4 linked regions of the Drosophila melanogaster genome follow. The protein of the gene in region 1 interacts with the protein of each later gene in a biochemical or structural test. Each region holds a gene or a part of one and is shown on either strand. Other genes may lie near its edges.

Region 1 (3,362 bases):
AGTTTTCAATCAATTGAAAATCTGACTCTGACTAGTGTGAAAGCAAAAGCATAAGTATTTAATCAAACAAACAGTAATCCAAAAACGAAAATTAGTTCCGCCAGTATTCGTAGCCCATGCCCAAGTCTAAATTCCAAGCCCACATCAGGTAATTTGGTCTACGCACAAACCTCACTAATCCATGCGTCTACCGTTCTAGGACAGCTCTAGAATCAAGACAGCTACCGCAATACTTTTCCAATCTCCTCCGCTCTAGGTTGCCTGTGTTGTGTGGTGGTGTGGCGTGTAAGTTGATTCCGGGCTAAGAAATTTTGTAAACCAAAACCTTTTCCGTAAGTTTGCCCCGGTAAGATTACGATATCCTCGCCTAACCGCCGTGGATCGGATGGATGAGTGAGTTAGTGTAAGGGAGCTTTCCTCTGTTTGGTACACATTGCGAACTGCTCCGATGGCCTGTGGCAATCTACTCCATTCATCCATTATGTCTGTAACCAATTTACCATTTCGATCTTTTCATGTACGTTGAGCTGATTGTTATCGTACTGAAGACGAATCCGCGGCGGAAACTCGCATAGAACAAACAGAAAACTGCGCAAAGGTTTGCTTTTGGTAACTGGTAACGATTGGTTGTGGTTGGTCAGGTCAGGGGTCTTTCGAGCTGGTTAGCCTCCACTTTGGATTGCGGACGGTGACAAAATTCTGGGGGTCTTTTATTTTTGTATTGTATTGTTTGGCAGACAGGATCCATGCAATTGCCTTTTCGTACCGTGCGACATACGGGAAACAAACTATTGTGTAGCAGGGCATTTTTCCTATTACACCATTATTAAGAAAAGCGGACAGAGATCAATGTCACATTTAGATTTGATCAAATAAAGAAAAGAATTCCTCCTTACACGAAAAAGTACTTGTTTCATTTCTAAGTATTTATCAAGATGACTTGAATTTTTTACAATTTTCGCTTGTTAAACTGGTCTATATGTCCTGGATAAGAAGATTTGCAGTGGCGTCCTTGGAATCTCTTTAAAAATGTATACATTTGTTGCAAATAAAGCATTGTGAAATCTATGGACATTAAATGCGACCTCTATTGGAAAACATTCACATATGTCGCAAATTATTATAAGCGGATATGATAGAAAATGTTAAAGTAAAAGGGACTAATTTCAAGGATGAAACATTGAATATCAATAGCAAGCATTTTTCATTCCAACCCGATAAGTACCTATGTACCCAGTTATATTACGAGTAATGGGTATCAGCTGATCGCTACCTTTGCTTCTAAAATGGCATACTGCGTATATCAATAGGCGACATATCGATATAATTGACTGCTATCTCAGCAACATAAAGAAACTGGAATATTCTAACTGTATTTTGCATGCGAATATAAACTTTAGCCGTAATCTTGTCGAATGCTACAAAAAACTACCCAGTAACTTATTATTCTGCCTTTCTTTAATTCGATTCCCTTTGCCATTGAGTACCCGATAGTTAAATATTTGTATGCTGCCCTGCGTACACTGGCCTACAAGCAACTCGAAAAATTCAATTATGTTCGCCGATAGTTAAATAATTTGATGTGGCCCTGCTCACATTGGCTAACAAGTAATGTGAATTAATTATGGGTATAGATATTGCTTGAATTGCAATTCTCATATCACTTTTTTTTTAATTTTCCGTAATATTCATCTTTACGAACCATCCCAATACTTATGCTTCTATTTAAATATTAACATTCATATTTATATTAAACATATATATTGACTCTCTAATATGCTTTAAATGCTATTTAAATCGATTGCGTGCTTAGCATTACATTTTTTAGTCCAATTGTTTGAATATTTTTTCTTTTCGGCATATATCAAAATTACTTGTTAGGAAAAACGTGACCGAAAACCGAAACAGTGACAATAATGGATGGTTGCTGGCGAATCTATCGACTACCTATCGTGTATCGATACACACCGATAGTATCGCAAAAGTTAACGAGGTAGGTCCAGCACCAGTTTTTTTGGCGTGTAGCTGTAGCAGAAGCAAAAGGAAGCCGCTTGTGATAAATTTCAACTTCCATCAGCAAGCACTGAATTTGAGGAAATCAGGTAAATTTTTGCATTTCTACGCGATTAGTTGCTGCCCCGCGGTATTGTGCTTAGTTTTTACGTGTGGTTTACCAATTTCCGCGTACTTAATTGGACATTTTGCCTCGTTTTTTTTCGTACAGCACGCCCGGCATTCGACGCTCCGCAAAAGAAAAAAAAAACTTTTTTGACCACTTAGCAGCTTCAACAAGCAACCAAAAAATCAACATGTCTGACGAAAAGAAGGGAGGTGAGACCGAGCACATCAACCTGAAGGTCCTCGGCCAGGACAACGCCGTCGTCCAGTTCAAGATCAAGAAGCACACACCCTTGAGGAAGCTGATGAACGCCTACTGCGACCGTGCCGGACTCTCCATGCAGGTGGTGCGCTTCCGTTTCGACGGACAGCCCATCAACGAGAACGACACTCCGACCTCGCTGGAGATGGAGGAGGGCGACACCATCGAGGTTTACCAGCAGCAGACTGGTGGCGCTCCATAAGATTACTTAGTTAAGTTAGTTACTCCTCTTACAACTACACACTTAAAACGAAAAAGAAAAAAATACAAGAAAAACCACAAAAGCAAAAACACAACAACAACAACATGAAGAATCCAACAAACCAGGCCCTAAGAATCGATTGAATATGCTTTTAGTACAACTGTAGATTCTAAATGCGTCTGTGTGCGTAAATAACAAAAACATTTGCAGACAAGAAAATGGTAAATAAAGCATTTTATAAACTACACAAAATTTGCCGTCTTTCGCTATTTATTCCTGCGCCTGATCGGCGTTTGTTTTTGCCCTTCTGCAACGAAAAGCCGGTGCGAATTTCCCGCTTTGTGACCCTCTTTCTAAACAGCACGCACACACACTGTCATTGGCATGGCACGTCTGTGTGCGAGCAGGACTGGGTCCAGTGCGCGTGTGTGCGTGCAAATTGATATACATACACATCGGAGAACACTGAATTTGCGGGAAAAGTACAAGCATACATATACGCCTGCGAATTTGCGAAGTCTGGGAAAACATAACCTCAAATTTGAACAAGAAAAAAAAATGACGTCAGTTTTGAGAACCTTCTGGAAATTACATAGAGGTAACTATAACCTCAAAATTGGGATCTAGTAATACGCTTGTGTGTTTGTGAAAGCCAAGCCATACATGATGATTGTGTATGTATACCATGTATACATACATACCATTCATGATGTATGTGCGTATGTGCTTAAATTTTCAAAGGTACAGTTGTGTAAAAAAAAACTATGATGAAAAATTAAA
Region 2 (7,888 bases), on another chromosome or scaffold:
GATTCGCTGCACTGCCGCTGCGAGCCGCACTGGCGGCCAACTTGGTGGCGGACCAGCTGGACGGATTGGACACGCTCTCATGGCGGAATCCGGCCACCACCGAAATGGCCACGCCCAGTGGTGCCGTCGCCGCCGCTGTGGTGGTGGACACGCACAGCAACTACATGCTGGCCACCGATGAGGCGTATGTGACGTATGTGAATCCCAACGGGGTGGAGATTATGGAGATCATACCCGAGGAGGACGAGACGGTGTCCATGATGCGGTCGAGCAATGCGACCATCGACAATTATGCCATGTCCGCCTCGCAGATGTCGCACAAGTCCCTGTCCAATGGACGTCTCTATCCACTGACGCCCCAGCATCCTTTGGGCACAGGAACGGGAACTGGTACAGGTAGCTCCTCACCCCTACCTCCCGATTATGCCAACCTGGTGAGTAGTGCGCAGGCTTTGTGGAATATGGTGACCGGATGTGAAACCTTTCCGTATGCTCCTCATTTTCAGCGCCGCATCCGGCGGATGTCGCGTGCGGTAACCACGCACCTGTGGTGGAATCTGCTGGACAAGATCGCCATGCCGCTGCAGCAGGCGCTGCTGGTGCCGCAGCTGTACGCCACCACGCTGCTCCTCTCGGCGGACATCTTTAGCTACGTGATGTGCCTGACGGTGCTACCCGGACTGGCGGTCAGCCACCATGCGCTGAAGAACGCCGAGATCCCGTTCCTCTTCTCGCTGCTGGCCTTCCCATGGATGTGCTTCTCCCTGATGACTCCGCGCTTCGGCACGAGCCTCTATAAGCGGAAGCTCCAGTGGCACACGCTGGGCAGCATCTGCAAGTGCCTGGCGCTGATCTGTGAGTCATGATACCCGTTTCAAGCTTTCCCCGGGCCATCAATAGATCCATCTTTTGTTTCGCTTCCAGTCATCAGCTTCTCCACCTCCAAGCTGCTGCTCAGTGTGTCCGCCGTGCTGCTGGGATTTGGCCAGGTGGTGACCGCCTTTCTGCAGGAGCTGGTCTTCCAGATGGGCATGACGCGGGCCAACTGGACGGCCATCCGCCGTCCGGTGCACTTCACCAACGGCCTGCTGGTTCTCCTCTGGGGCGCGCTGGCCCACTGGGTGGTGGAGCGGTACTCCTTCCAGGCCACCGTGGGACTGGCCGGCGCCCTTTACGGAACTACCACGCTGCTCTGGAACTTCCTCTTCTTCTGCTGCCAGAGCAAGGATTGAGGGACTGAAGAATTCGCGCACTCTCACACAACAAGGCATCGTGTATGTGTGTGTGTGTGTGTGCTGCTGTGGCTGACGTTGTTGTTGTATTTGTGCAGTGATATTAATAAATAAATATATAAACTATAAGCAAGCTACATACATTTTAACATAAGTCTTAAAAGTCTTATTACGTCAATTTGAAAAAAGAATGGAATGCTGGCCTTTAAAATATCCCTAAAGAACTGCTACAGAAGTAGCTATAGCCTTTTAGCTATTTTTCCATTAAGCTGTGCTGACTACTGTACTTTGGAAATGTGGACAGTTTTTTTCCGATTAAAATAAGTTTAAAAGTATAAAATGTTGCGTTCATTCTAGAGATTGGTTCAATTTTTTAGAAATCTGTCGCACACTAAAAAAAATGCATGTTCTTACAAAATTCGCTGTGTAAGAAATATTGAAAATATTGAAATATTATTGGAAAATATTGACGAAAAATTTCCCTTTTCACCGAATTTGTCGTATTTTTACAGTAAGACTAAATGCCGTTATTTCCTCAGATATTTCTAGGTAATTACATTCGCTGCGTGACGAAAGCTGCCTGCTATGATGCGGCAGCCAGACCCAACACTGTTGGCCGATATCGATTGGTTTGGTATTATAGAGCAATATCTTGTACGGTCATACTAAGGCACCAGTACGCCAAAACCGAAATTTTCTTTCTTTACTCAATTTTCATCGAGCTAAGTTGCGAAAATTTTCTCAAGTCACAGTGAAAAGTGTACATTGTTTAAAACCTGGCCAAGGGGTAAGTGTTTGTTGCAAGGCGCTTGTGGTGTGGCACTCAGTGCGGTGCAATAGCAGCGTCGGCATTTTCCGGCGGCCGCAGAAGTGGCACCAAGCAAAGACGGCGAAAAACAGCGAAAAATGCGCAAAATCGGGCTTCCTTTTTGCCGGCTCGTTTTCCTTTTTTGCTTATTCTTCTTCTTGCGATTCTTGAAAGCGAATGCGTGTGGAAAAATAATTTCTGATTAAATTTCAATTTGCAGCTAAAAGTAGCGAAAGCGGTAGCGAACACACGCATGTCGCTGCCTCCCGAGGACACCGATTTGTCCACAAATTCCGCATACGAATCCGCACTCCAAATCGCGAGCAATGTGTCGGCAGCACGAGTAGTCGGTTCGGCAGTAGGACAGCGATTTTCGCCGTCGCCAGCAGCTCACCCGAACGTGATTGAGCGCGTCGCGTCTCATGTGGACTCACGCCGCAGCACGTTTCCAAGTTGGGGTAATCCGTCAGTAGCGCCAAGAGGATCGGAAGAAGCAGCAGCCAACGCCACAGCAACACAACTCCTATGGGCGGAGAACCAAGGTCTCCCGACATCGCACTTATTGCCAACTGAACAGGCATTCGAGACATTGAACACTAATGCGTATTGTTCCCCGCCAGGGGATTCACGATTTACGTTCCCTAGCCAGAACTACTCGCCGCTGCTGCCGCGGTGTGTCCCAGTTCCGAATCAGCGTTACTCTCCAGATGGATCGCCAATACATCAACTCCATGAGCTGCAAAATTGTCCATTGATAGATTCGCCGATAAGACTGCGATTTCCATCCCCCTTGCCAGAACCACCATCACTACCGACCATCACCCTTACAGTTGATGCCCTGATCGATCTTGACCAAAACAACCAGGTCGCATATTATGTCCAGCAGTACAACAATCAGCCAGTCCTATATCAACAAAACATTCATATAGGAACGGGAATCCAACTATGCGATCAGGCCTCCGAGAATAATCAACCGATTATATTACATATCGTGGAGCACAATCCCCAGACTATAACTGAGAGCCAGGAGCAATTCCACCAGGTTGTCCCCGAAATTCAAATCAATAATATCCAGGAGCAAGATCAGAAATTTGAAAATGGCATCTCGGAACAAAATCATCCGATTGCAACTGAGGCTCAGGATCAGACTTTAACTGAGATCCGGGATGAAAACCAGATTGTCCTTGCAGTCCAAGAAAAAAATCTCACGCGTGCCTCTGAGATTCAGGACCAGAACCAACAGACATTAACCGAGATCCCAGAGAAATGTCTTCAGATTGCATCTCCTGTCACTACTGATATACAGGTACAAAGTCCTCAGGTTGTAATAGAGATCCAGGAGCAAAATCACCAGTCTGTAACGGAGATCCAGGAGGAAGTTCACCAGACTGCCCCCGAAATCCAAGTGAACGTTTTCCAGACCTCGTCTGATATTCAAGGGCAAAATCACCAGATTGTAACTGAAGAGCAAAATCATCAGACTATAACCGAGACCCAGGAGGATTACTCGGCTGTCTCCGAAATCCAATGGGAAAATCTCTCGTTTTCTGCTGAGATTCAGGAGCAAAACCAGCAGATCGTAACCGAAGTTACGAAGCTTGCATCTCCTTCTGTTACTGATATACAGGCACAAAGTCCTCAGTCCGTAATCGAGATCCAGGATGACGATGATGAAGATCTAAAGTTCGAATCTGATGATCTGCACACTATACCTGAAATCCAGGAGAAAAACCAACAAAGTCCTCAGTTCGTAATCGAGATCCATTATGATAATGAAGATCTAAAGTTCGCATCTGATAATCAGGAGCAAGATCAACAAACAGCCGAGCTCCAAAAGGAAAGGTTCCAGTTCGCATCTGAAATCGAGAAGCGAGATCTGCAGATTGTTACTGACACTCACAAACAAAATTATCACAATGTAACCGACATCCCGTTCGCAACATACATCCAGGAGGAAAACGAGCAGTTAACACCGGAAGACCAAGAGGAAGATCAACATTACCTGAATTTTGAGGGGAACCAACAATTCCAGCTCCAGAAGCAAGATCAGCTGAGTGTACCACAGATCCAGAAGCAAACCCACCAGTTCGAATCTAAGGTCAAAAAGAGAAAGTTGCAGCCCTTTTCTGAATACCAGCAGAAAGGTCAGAAAGATCATATCCAAGAGAGGCAGTATATTCAGCAGGAATTCACCATCCACTCTAACCAGGCTTATTCTAAGGTCCAGTATATACAAACTATACAAACTGCGACTCCGTACGTACCTCAATTGGAAATATCCCAGGAAAACAGTTTTGAGGTTCAACCAGCATACGAGGTAAACGAAGGCCAACGGGACAGAGAACTGGTTAGTTACACAGGCCACGAGCATCAGAACTTTGTTGATGAGGTCTCGACACCATTACCGCCCGCTGAAGCTCAACCAGGATCTACTTCAGAAGATATATCAGACCCCGTTTCACCTGAACATTGGGAGCAGCTAGAGTCACTCGATCCGAGCACTATTTGTATTCGCAAAACCTTCAATCTAATTCGCGATATCTCTGAAAGTCTGGTGGCCGATCCAGAGCAACCCGAAGCCGAAGCCCACCGGAAGTCAATTTTCCTTCTCCGCCAGAAGCTAGCCGATGTGTGCCATAAGGTTCTAACCGAAATTATACACGGCCGGGCCACCGATGAGATCATCTCCATTCTGAGAGAGATTCTCGAGCAAACTAAGGAAATACCTCCACGCCCCACGCCGAAAAGAGACCTCCAAGAAGACATTTCGATGGGCTTAGAAATATTAAAAAAGATCCGTGGTATGCTATCCGGTTGGTATTCTTCCAGAGAAAGCGAAACGGACTCCACGGATACCGGAACGGGATTCCAGGCTCAAAACGGAAAAGGTTTTGGTGCCGGCCGCCAGCCGGAAAATAGTTTTTTATCCCAGAAAAGACGGTAAGCATTAAGAATTTTATGTTATTTTTAATTTTGTTTACCTAAATCCAACTAGGTAAGCCTGCGCAACAATTTTATGTCATTCATTGCTACTCCCATGTAAAAATTTCAATTAATGTTTTTTCTCTACTTTCAGCAACCAAGAAGAGAACCCTCGTCTGATCAAGTACCGGCGTGTGGACAACAGCTTTCCCCGCTTGATAACGAATGAGACGGCCGAGGACCTGATTCCCAACAATTCGATGGCCAAGCGGGATCAGCCCCAGAGCTCAAAGCGGCTCTCAATATTTAATCCGCCGGTATACACGCAGCACCGAGTGCGCAATGATGCCCCCCACGTACCTACGCCATTTGACGATGAGGAGTCGTCACAGAGACTTGCTAACGCGGGCCCATCATCCAGGCCCATGACTTACTCGGATGCGGTGCGTCTAGGCCATAATGGCATCTCCGAGTCGCGCGTAAATGGGCACTCCAGCCATACGGTGCGCAGAGAACCGTCTCGGCTGCACAGAAGCATTCTGTCCCACGAGATGAACTGCAAGGATCAAGAGCAGTATAACGAACTTATCCGTACCCAAACAAATTACGTGGGCAGTCGCTACCTCAAGCCGGGTACCCCGCCAACGTTTCAGCGGGCTAAAGCCCAGTCGGCAACCAGTAGCAGCTGCTCACTGCAAGACAACCAATCGAATATAACAGATTCGTTCCCGTCGCCACATGGCCGTGCGAACCCTGAGCTAACGGAGTACGCCAAATTGATCAACCGCCAGGAGAATGAGGAGAACAGGTCTCCGGCACCACAGCAGCCAAAGCGAAACGCTAGCAATAGCTCTGCCAGCCATGCGTCCACTATTTCCAGCAGCGCATCTTCCTCCTGCAGCACTTGTTCAACTTGCTCATCTTCTGACACTGAGCCAATGTTGGTTAAAGATAGCCCGGAGGTCAAGGAAGCCAACGAAGCCAACGAGGCCAACGAAGCCAACGAAGCCAACGAAACCAAGGAAAAGTAAATAAATGCTTTATATCCAAACGTAAATAATTTGCAATAATCAAAAATCCTGATTTTATCACCAATTAGTGACGCACCTCAACCTACAACTACCAGAATCAAGAAACCAGACTTCTTGCACCGTCGCTTTGCCAACTGTATCTTTCTAAGGAATGACTTTGCGGAAAATTTCAAAGCAAGAGCGAATCGCCGGCAACTTGAATCCATGCATCTTCTTGGAATAGCTGAACAGCAGTAAGTATTTGTAACGCTATAATTAGGCCCAGTACCAAGAGGCTTTTTTCCAATTTTAGGGCTAATGAAAGCAAAGATGAACGCCTTGCCTATGAAAAAAAGCTGCGGGAAGTCATGTTCCGGTCTGGTGCTCCCCACCGGCCCTTTTTTGAAATCGGGCCCCTGGAACAGCCGGAAGAGAAGAAAGAGACCAAGCTCATTCCGCTAACAAAGGAGGACCACGCTCGCTTTCAAGAAATGACAACTATTGAGGTTACGACGGTAAACGAATATATTTATTTATTTATATGTGTACCCATTTAAAACGTTTATATGCTTGCGCTTTAAAATCTTATTTCAGAACTTAATTTTCAAATATAACCTACAAATAACTACCGACGACATATTCACGTTTGTTGATGGCGAATGGCTTAACGACGCGATCATCAACTTTTACATGTCCATGCTGACGGAACGCTCGGAGAAGCGAGCTGGCGAACTTCCCGCCACTTACGCCATGAACACATTCTTCATGCCCCGTCTCCTGCAAGCTGGGTATGCAGGCGTTAGGCGCTGGACTCGCAAAGTGGACTTGTTCAGCAAGGACATAATACCGGTGCCAGTGCACTGCGGCAACGTCCACTGGTGCATGGCCATCATACACTTGCGTAACAAGACAATCTTCTATTACGACTCAATGGGAAGACCAAACCAACCGGCGCTTGATGCTCTAGTTAAATATCTGCACGAAGAGTCACTAGACAAGCGCAAACAGCCGTTTGATATGACCGGTTTCGTTGTCGAGAACGCGCAGAATATACCACGTCAAGGGAATAGCAGCGATTGCGGTGTCTTCAGCTGCATGTTCGCCGAGTATATAACGCGTGATGTTCCGATTACCTTCTCCCAGGCGGAAATGTTGTACTTCCGCACGAAGATGGCCCTGGAAATCGCCGACGGAAAGTTGTGGCAGTAGGGGTTCAAGCACAAAACTACGCAAAAATGGAGAATTCAGTTCTTTACTTATTTTTACAAATCTTACGTAAACACTCCAAGCATGAATTCGCGACAAGTACTTAGCCATCGAACGAACTCGTTTATTCGATAGAATCGAGATGGCTGAGACCCCTGCTGGTGCATTAACTTGTTCTCATATCTGATTGTAAAAGAGAATCTATTTCTTCAATAAAATGTCACCAAGTAAAAGCGATGCGAATAAGGATGTATTAATCGCCGAATATCTTCAAGTTTATAATTAATATTTAGAATACAGCAAGCTATGAATATGTACTAATGTAATGTAATGTACTGCTCTAATCCTAACTCTAAACTAGGAATTACTGGATTTCATATTTTTTTCTTACATTGTCTTTTCTGTTTCATATCGTTAAGTTGAAAAGATCAGAGCCGCTGATAATTGAAAATCATACTAATACTCCAGTTTATTTTTGAATTTATCGGTTTTTTTTTTTTTAAAGAAAATGTCGCTATATTCCTATAAATTAGATAATATTAATAAGGAATCAATCTTAATTTAGTATTTTTGAAAATGTAGCTTATTCAAGCAAATACTTATTATACAAATATAGGTAAATGTGGGTTAATGGTATTAGTTTTGTTTTTGTAAAGATTTTCTCTAACCCTTAGGAAGTAGTACACCTTTCATAACCTAAGGTACATAAT
Region 3 (3,542 bases), on another chromosome or scaffold:
AAAATTAAATTAAATGATTTGGAACAGATAATTTTGTTTGGATATGGCACAACTACTTTTCGTTTGGCTTATCCTTGGGATCTTTACTATCGACACTTTCAGCCGCACTTTCCTCGGTCTTCTTCGACCTTTTCTGCGCCTTTTCAGCCTGCTTTTGCTTTTCGGCCTCAGCCAGAGCAGCCTCCTGCTCCTGTTTTAGTTTTTCCTTCTGCGCTGCAGCCTCAGCCACTTCCTCATCGTCCCAGTCGGCCATCGAGCGGTCGCGCTTTAGCCACGAATGCGTGGTGTCCGGCTTGAAGGCTGCATGGGAATATAAGGGATTGAGAAAATGTACAGCCACTGGCGCTGGAGAAACTCACTCTGGTTGAACCATTTGATGCCGTTCTGCATGTCCTCGATGATTTCACGGGACGTGAACATCACCTCATTCTGCACCGCCTGGTGGAACGTTGAGGTCTCGAACGTGCTCGAGTAGACCGAGTTGCGATCGTGGATGAGCGCGCGTTGCGGGAACTTGGCCAGACAGGTGGCCAGCTCCAGGGCATTGCCCAAGGCCGTGCCTGTGGGCACAATCCTGTTGACCAGTCCAATGTCGTGGGCCTCCTGGGAGCCCACCGGACGTCCCGTAAGTATCAGGTCCAGGGCACGCGACAATCCAATCATAGCCGGCAGCCGGATGGTGCCGGCATCGAGCATTGGCACTCCAAAGCGTCGATTGAAAAATCCCAGTACTGCGGACTCCTCCATCACGCGCAGATCGCACATGAGAGCCAGCTCCAGACCGTTGGCTATGCAGTAGCCATTGATGCCGCACACGACCGGCTTCTTGATCTGGCGACGCGTGGGACCCACGGAGCCCTCCGGTCGCATCAGGATGTCCACGCTGATCTCCTCCTTCTCGTCGGTGCTAATCTCCAGGATGTCGAAGCCGGAGCAAAAGGAGCCGCCCACGCCGTACAGCACGGCCACCGGCGACGTGTCGTCCGCCTCGAAATTGGCGAAGGCGTCGCAAAGCTGCGATGCAGTAAGCGAATCGATGGCATTACGCTGCTGCGGTCGATTGATGCCGATCAGCGTGATGTTCTTATCCTTTTCCACAAGGATGTTCTTCGGTGGCGCCGCCTCTGCTTCCTGGGTCGCTGGATCTGTAGCGATTGAACGGTTACAACAGTATAAGTCCAAATTATGTCACCGGCTTTTTCGCCGACTTACATACCTTTGTGCAGCGCTTTTGTCGAGGAAAATGTGCGACTCGCGGCGGTGAAACGTGCTTGCTGACCCACCTGCTGGGCCAACAGACCTCCAAATTTGCGAAGCATGATCTAAGCCAAAATGGCAATCAATTATTCTTCACAATGGAGAGCAACAAGCTTAAAGACTTACCGGAAAATTAAATATTGGTCAGATTTCGTAAAAACAATTCGATAGTAATTGTCTTACAGAGCTGCCACCGTTTTGTGGCAATCCTATTGTGTTAGCTTTTTCCCGCTAAACTTGGCTATTTTAAAGCTTGGTTTGCTTGGCGGTAAGTTACAAAATAAATTCACCTCAATTTGTTGTTAGGATGTTATAAAAACTATAGAATAGTATATAGTATAGTATAGTACAGTATAGAAAATTATAAATATTATAATTATAAGTGCTAGATTTTAAGTGCTTTATTTAGTTTTATTCTGTACGTACAAAAACAGTTGGCAGCACTGATTCTGCAAAAGGCGTTTTGGCATTTTCAAAAGGCGTTAGTTTCTTGTTGCGGCGTCTCACTGAAAGTTGTTGCAAGAAATTTGTATTAAGTTGTGAAAAATACATTTTAAACTTGATAAATAAATAATGGTCGTGGATATGGACACCAGCGAGACAGCCGTGGAGCTCACTGAGGCGGAGAACGAGCTGTACGACAGACAAATCCGACTCTGGGGTCTGGAATCTCAGAAACGGTGAGTGCAAAAAAACCGGCATTCCGCAATGGCGCTATAATGCGCTAAAATATATTTTCGATTTAAGCCTTCGCACGGCCAAGATTCTCATCGCTGGACTGTGCGGCCTGGGCGCCGAGATAACCAAGAACATCATCCTGTCCGGAGTGAACTCCGTGAAGCTGCTGGATGACAAGGACGTAACCGAGGAGGACTTTTGTTCACAATTCCTTGTCCCCCGTGAATCGCTGAACACCAACCGGGCCGAAGCATCATTGACACGGGCACGTGCTCTCAATCCCATGGTGGACATCTCCGCCGACCGCGAGCCCTTGAAGGAGAAGACCTCTGAGTTCTTCGGTCAGTTCGACGTTGTGGTGGTCAATGGCGCGACCAACGAGGAACTGTTGCGCATTGACACCATTTGCCGGGACCTGGGCGTCAAGTTCATAGCCACCGATGTGTGGGGCACCTTCGGGTTCTACTTTGCCAGTCTGCAGAAGCACAGCTACGTCGAGTAGGTTCCCTACCTACCATTGCCCATTGCTAACTTAATGTCCACCTTTTTTCCAGGGATGTTATTAAGCACAAGGTCGTAGCCAATTCGGAGAAGAAAAAGAAGTATGAAACCGTGTCCATTCCAACGCAGCGTGATGTGGATTATCCCGGCTACTCTGCCTGGCTTGATTTCGATGTTACCGAGCCTAGTTATTTGCGAAAATTGAAGCGCAATGGCCCGGGTGTTTTGCTATTAAGTGTCCTGCAAAAGTTCCGCACAACCCACAAGCGGGATCCCAGCTACAAGACCCGAGAAGCTGACCTGGAATTGCTTCGCGGAATTCGCGACGAACTGCTGCCCAACTCTATACTGGGCGACGAAGCTCTAGGTCTGATTTTTGCACAGATCTCGCCAGCGGTCGCTGTTGTCGGCGGCGTTGTGGCACAAGAGGTCATCAAGGTGGTTACTAAATTGGAGGCGCCACACCGTAATCTGTTCGTTTTTGACCCAGAGACTTGTGCCGGATACGTTGAGGCCATCGGAGCGAAGTGAATTTACCACAAAGGGCTTATTTATAAAAATCTGAATATCAAATAACACCAGTTGTAAAATTTTATTGGTTTTTTAATGTCCCGTACTTATTAAGAAAGCTTAGCTTGTGGTAATCTTAGCGGGGCGTTTAAGTTTAGGGGATGCTGGCCAAGTAGTCCTTGATTGAGGCGGGGTCCAGACGCTGGAATCCGTTCTGATCGCAGATTCCGATCTCAATGTTGTCGGCAGTCATTTTTCCCTCAAAACCTTCTTTCAGCGTAAGGATGGCGGTGTGAACAGCGTCGTCCAGCTCCAGATCTTCGCTGTAGCTGCAGGTTGATGAAAATATGAGTGACTTGCGACTTTAATTGGTGTACTATTATTGGTACTTACCGCTTCTCCAGGAAAGTTTTGCCGTTCACTGCGTTCTTGCCCATGGCAGTGGCCTTCCAGGCGAAGTAGGCGCCCGAAGGATCGGATTGGTAGAGATACGGACGATCATTGTCCCAGCCGCAGATCAGTAGGGAAACGCCAAAGGGACGAACGCCACTGTTGGTGGGATTGCATACGATTATCTATGGGAACCCAAAGTCGAG
Region 4 (4,949 bases), about 10 Mb from region 1:
GGAAAAAATCAATAATGTCGTATACACGGGGTGCAAATGTACATATGTGTATGTACATGAAAATGACTGCCCCAGCACGTGTCAGCTTATAAGGGGGCAGGATCCATTAAAAATTACCTCGCGGGACTGGACGAATATCGCGTGATTTTCGTGGAAAACCCGCTGCAATTGGTTGCCGGCCTTGTGGGAGTGGGAGCTTCTCCATTCACCATTGTTTGATCGATGTCTGGACTCCATTAACCGGGTTGTTGTTCTACGTTCGTGCCATCAAGACATTGCGAGTTGACTTAGTCCCGCAATTCCCCCACTCCAATTCCACGGGCGGCGATGGCAATTGATGTGGAATTTCAATACTAACATTTGACATAATTCCTATTTATTTGCGCTTAGCTCACGTGCACTTATGTATGTATGTATGTTTACCAGGTGGCATGACCTTCGTGCCAGTGTGGTTTTGATAACGATTTACGATAATGGCGGAAAGTCCTTTTTTATGCATATGTACGTAGTATTGGGAAGAACTTAAGCATGTGGATTTTGTGTCACCGACCATCCAACTTTAATTAATATTATTTTTATTCTTATTTACTTATAAATTTTTCACAGTAATAAAATAGGAACATTTAGTACTTATTTGTAATTTTGTCATGAAATTATAAAAATACTACCTGGTTCTTTCGCATGTATTTCAAACTGATAATATTTCGTTTTCCAAATAATGTGACAATTATATTTTCTATTCATCGTTCATATTTAATAATTTGGTTTAATTAGCTGAAAAACCCAAAACATAAAAATCCTTATCTAACGTGCGACCACTTTTTAAGCGATGTATTCAATTATCAACTGTACTGACCCCCATTTCCCCAGAAGGTGAATCAGCAATATTATCAAATTCCGCGTAACAAGCCGTCTTGAATGTCAGAGGTCCTCCGCCCGGAAAGTGAAAGCTGCTCCGGAATGCTGAGCACGAAGCAAGTGAGTCACGGCATTGAGACTCTGCCGCAGTGGAAATTAATGCCACAACAAATGCCGGCGCAGGATATTATCCTTTTTCCAGGAATCGTACGCTGATTCAGACCCCCCAACCGCATGGGTGGGAGTGGGGTCTTAAATGGATAGCTCGCAGCCACACACACAGATAGTTAGTGCTCACCGTGCTGTTTCATTCATAAAAGCTGAAAAAGCTTTTCGGAGGCAGTCGCTCGTGGAGATGAGTCACATGTGAAAGACACTGAGATAAATGACGGAAGTTATTTTTTCCATTTATATTTTACTTTTCGTAAATATGCATATATAGTTGGAATATTCGGCTATTTAAACGAATCTCACATTGAAAATCGAATTCTTGATGATTGGTTACCATACAGTTGAATTCTCAATATTTAAGAAAAACAAAATATTTATATTTTCCGATTCCTTTGGGATGCTCCTAATAAAAAGATATGCATTTTCAATTAATTAGGTATTCCTTCAATATAATACGTGTTATAGATTTAAAAGGTGACACATTTTAAAAGCTTTTGAAAGAAACAACTGGCCTGCATTCCTACTAATCGGTATCAGTCAGATAAAAACATTTATATTATATGTATGTATATATTGTTTCGCCTTTATGCAATCATCGCGTATTCCTCGAAACTCGGATTTGTGGAAGATGTGGACATCTGTAAGCTATAAGTCGCAAGTGGAAAACTTCAATCGTACGTGACTCAGCACATGCTGATCTCGCACTCTTCGCCAAGCTAGGCTCTTCGGATTGTCTCTCTTCTGAGCTTAAGTCGAGACTGCAAAGAGCAGAGCTTGGGGCCGACTACTTAACTCCGTTGAAAGCTTCGCGATCTGCAAGTTTTGCGGTATTTTTCAGTGGCGCATACGGTATTGAAAGTTTGGCTCGCCTGTTTCTTCTTGGTGGGCAGTTAGTGTTCAAATCGCGGGCGTCGAGATCGGTTGGTAGTGCGTGTGTTACGGGTATTTTATCTCCACCTCCAAATTGTGCCTTATTTACCTTTTTCGCTGTGCTTTAAGCTTCCGCTCTCTTTCGCTCTTCTGGAGCTCGAAGGCAGGTTGAAATACCAGTAGATAAAAATAAAACGAAAAGTAAAAGAGCTGCATAAAAACGCATAAATTCAATTGAGCTCTAAGCAAGTTTCACTTGCTTTTTCGTATTACGAGTGACAAAAAAAAGAGACCCACCAATATAACGGAGGAAAAAACAAAAATAAAAAACTCGGCGCACGTATTGATAATTTCTATTAAAACTGAACGTTTACCGATTAGATTACACGGCACATCGACACTTTAACCACAAACATCGCAAGAATAACCAAAGAAAATGGAGGGCAGAGCGCGATAACAAATTACCCTAAATTATAAATCGAATAAATCGAAAAACAAAAACAAAAGGTAGTCGTACGTCGATGATCGCATAAGCATAAAGCCCGGAATTCCCTAGAAAAAATCGACGTCACGCGCTCTCTCGCGCTCTTTGCCCACTCTCTCTTTCTTCGGACTTCGATTTCTTAACTTTTCATTAGTTTCTGTTCGAACTGTTCTCCCCCATCCGTTGTTTTTGTCGTTATTATCGATATTATCGCACCCGCTTTGTGCGCGCGCAAAAGTTAAAAAAGAATAAAATAAGAAGAATCAGAAAGAGAGAGAGAGAGAGAGTGAGTGAGAAAGGGAGGGAAGAATAAATTATTTATATATAAAAAATAATAAATAAACCGGTTCCTGCCGTGCGTGCTTGTGTATGTGTTAACATTAACATGAAAAAAGCGCCATATTTCTCAACTATAAATAAATGGCTTATTTAGCTCGCTGTGCAACGGACTAATTTTCCAATTAACACAATAAGAAACTTAACAAATAATGTACATAAAAGTGTACTAATTGGTTCGCGTTGAATTTCAGGTGTCCGATTTACTTAGCAAACCCAGTGATATCAATGCATATAAGCGAGATTTCAGATCACTCCTTGACTTAGGTGAGTCCCCCTATAGAGCCTAGCTTAATTTATTGATTCTGAACATTGATTGCACGGATTAATAAAGTGCGGTGGAAAATCCTAATGGCTGCGTTTTGCGAGAAGGGTCTTGATATTTTAATAAATATGTACACAACTATTGCTTCCAAAGACGCAAAATGTCATTACAAAGAAACGCATCTTGCATTAAACATATTAAAAATATAACCTTATTGAGTCATTGGACGCCTTATCGTTTCGGAACAATGTTTACAGCAACAACATCGTGATTTATCAACCATTATTCACACTTTTAAGGTTTGATAAACCAAGACTGGTCACTTTTCTCGCATATTAATATTTTTCATCCTAAATAGTTTTAACATTTTGACAATGTTTAAAATTCCTGGATGCTAAGATTTGTAATAGCTCACAATTTCTGCATGACAAATAATAGTTAAGATGTTAAAAAAAAACTATTAGAACGTATTCAATCCTTTGTAGTGTAACCGCAGTTGTTGTTGTTGTGTTTTTTGGGTGGCAATTATCCACCTGCGTATTAAATAATCTACGGTGAATGCAAACGATAAACTTAAATAATACAACCGAAACACCTGTGTACATGGCAGCGCAGTCGCAGTGGCTTTTCGACGTCGCCATAAATGAAAGTTTCTTACGGGCACGTGGGTGGGCGAGGGGGGCCGTGGGGCCCAGAGGGGGTGGGGCTCGTGGAAAAGCTTTTGCCCCTTGTATTTATTTATTTTTTGCTGCCACTCAAATACGCCGGAGAGGTTTTCAATTGTTTCATTCTAAGATCGACTCGATGCGCCTGCGGTCGTGTTTGCGCTAACATTCTTTTATTTTTATTAAATATTTTTAAAATTCCCTAACGGTTCGATATTATTTTTAAGTAATAATTTGAAAAGTACCATTTTGAAAGAACAAACTGCGGTTAGTGTGCGTTTTGTGGCCCAAATAAAAGCAAAAAGTGAAACCGAATTCGTCATGAGTGTTCACTGGTTCTTGGTTTGATTCGCAGGTAATTATGAAGAATGAAGAAATGCTTTTAGCTGCTAATACGGTGTAAACTCGAAAAGTGCAACCAAGTTAAATGCAAACCGTGTGCTGACTCATAACATCAGACTCTCGTCTCCGGGACCAAAGAAAATCAAAGCGCTAAAATCGCTCAACTCGTTTCCAGCAAGTCATCGGCGATTTACAAAGCTCGAGTAGAGATTTGTGTGCTAACAGAGATCTAAGGCCAAGTCAATAGATAATATTGGTTATATCTACTGGTAGTTTCCCCGTATGCTAAATCCGAGTCATGATTGATACACGATCTGGCTGTGGGTAAGGCCCTCCGCTATGCAAATCATCAATCAATAGGGATTCTATTTTAGGCGAATATCATTTAAACCACTCGATAAGAAAGATCGTGGCCGTTATAATTGGAGATACGGATAAGATATGTATCTGCATTTTTGCCGGAAGTCACATGTGCACAATAATCCCTGATCGGCTAATTTAACAAACATTGTTTGGTGTGGAAAATAAGGATAATGGACTTGTATTCATACGATACAAAACATAGCTTTTGGCAACTAGTTCCATCGATTTGTCAGCATATCGGTTATTTATTTTTATTTGAGCTGTAAATTGCTTGACGCCAACGATCGTTAAAAAACATTTGTCTGTCTGGAGTTCTTGTTTTTTTTTTTTTTGCGGAACCCGTTTCACTGAGGAATTTTTGGCTGCTTCTGATGCTTTGATGTTGATCTTAATCTTAATTTGTGGTGCTGGCGCCAAAAGAACTTTTTTCTGTGTGTCTTTGCTATTGGAAATTGCATAAAATTAGCATGTTAAATGATCGAAACGAAATGTTCATTTTATTTTGTTTACTTACCTTTTTTTTTTATTTTTCGCCAAAAGTAGTTATCGTTGAACGAGTAGAACGTTATTTTATTAATTCATTTTATGGCTTAAC

Evidence for each region.
Region 2: of the proteins of Sumo (region 1) and Ulp1, one has a biochemical effect on the other in vitro, tested with the Drosophila melanogaster proteins (one study listed by BioGRID).
Region 3: of the proteins of Sumo (region 1) and Aos1, one has a biochemical effect on the other in vitro, tested with the Drosophila melanogaster proteins (one study listed by BioGRID).
Region 4: of the proteins of Sumo (region 1) and dl, one has a biochemical effect on the other in vitro, tested with the Drosophila melanogaster proteins (one study listed by BioGRID).

The regions. Positions count from the first base shown.
Region 1 is NT_033779.5:6,966,248-6,969,609, reverse strand, and holds Sumo (small ubiquitin like modifier), read left to right. Parts: upstream 1-1,965; 5' UTR 1,966-2,102; intron 2,103-2,224; 5' UTR 2,225-2,309; coding exon 2,310-2,582; 3' UTR 2,583-2,830; downstream 2,831-3,362.
Region 2 is NC_004354.4:19,202,165-19,210,052, reverse strand, and holds the start of Ulp1 (Ulp1), read left to right. Parts: upstream 1-1,865; 5' UTR 1,866-2,019; intron 2,020-2,260; 5' UTR 2,261-2,293; coding exon 2,294-4,980; intron 4,981-5,116; coding exon 5,117-5,989; intron 5,990-6,061; coding exon 6,062-6,226; intron 6,227-6,285; coding exon 6,286-6,487; intron 6,488-6,566; coding exon 6,567-7,181; 3' UTR 7,182-7,888. Other genes in the region: CG14195 (uncharacterized protein), read left to right, coding at 1-434, 507-855, 925-1,232.
Region 3 is NT_033777.3:12,432,020-12,435,561, reverse strand, and holds Aos1 (activator of SUMO 1), read left to right. Parts: upstream 1-1,739; 5' UTR 1,740-1,830; coding exon 1,831-1,937; intron 1,938-2,004; coding exon 2,005-2,433; intron 2,434-2,489; coding exon 2,490-2,967; 3' UTR 2,968-3,029; downstream 3,030-3,542. Other genes in the region: Srlp (Spliceosome-ribosome linker protein), read right to left, coding at 53-300, 360-1,145, 1,217-1,319; Prosalpha2 (proteasome alpha2 subunit), read right to left, coding at 3,101-3,275, 3,340-3,495.
Region 4 is NT_033779.5:17,447,333-17,452,281, reverse strand, and holds the start of dl (dorsal), read left to right. Parts: upstream 1-1,917; 5' UTR 1,918-2,406; intron 2,407-2,913; 5' UTR 2,914-2,986; intron 2,987-3,771; exon of another isoform or gene 3,772-4,004; intron 4,005-4,949. UniProt on the Drosophila melanogaster protein: Embryonic developmental transcription factor. The lateral or ventral identity of a cell depends upon the concentration of this protein in its nucleus during the blastoderm stage.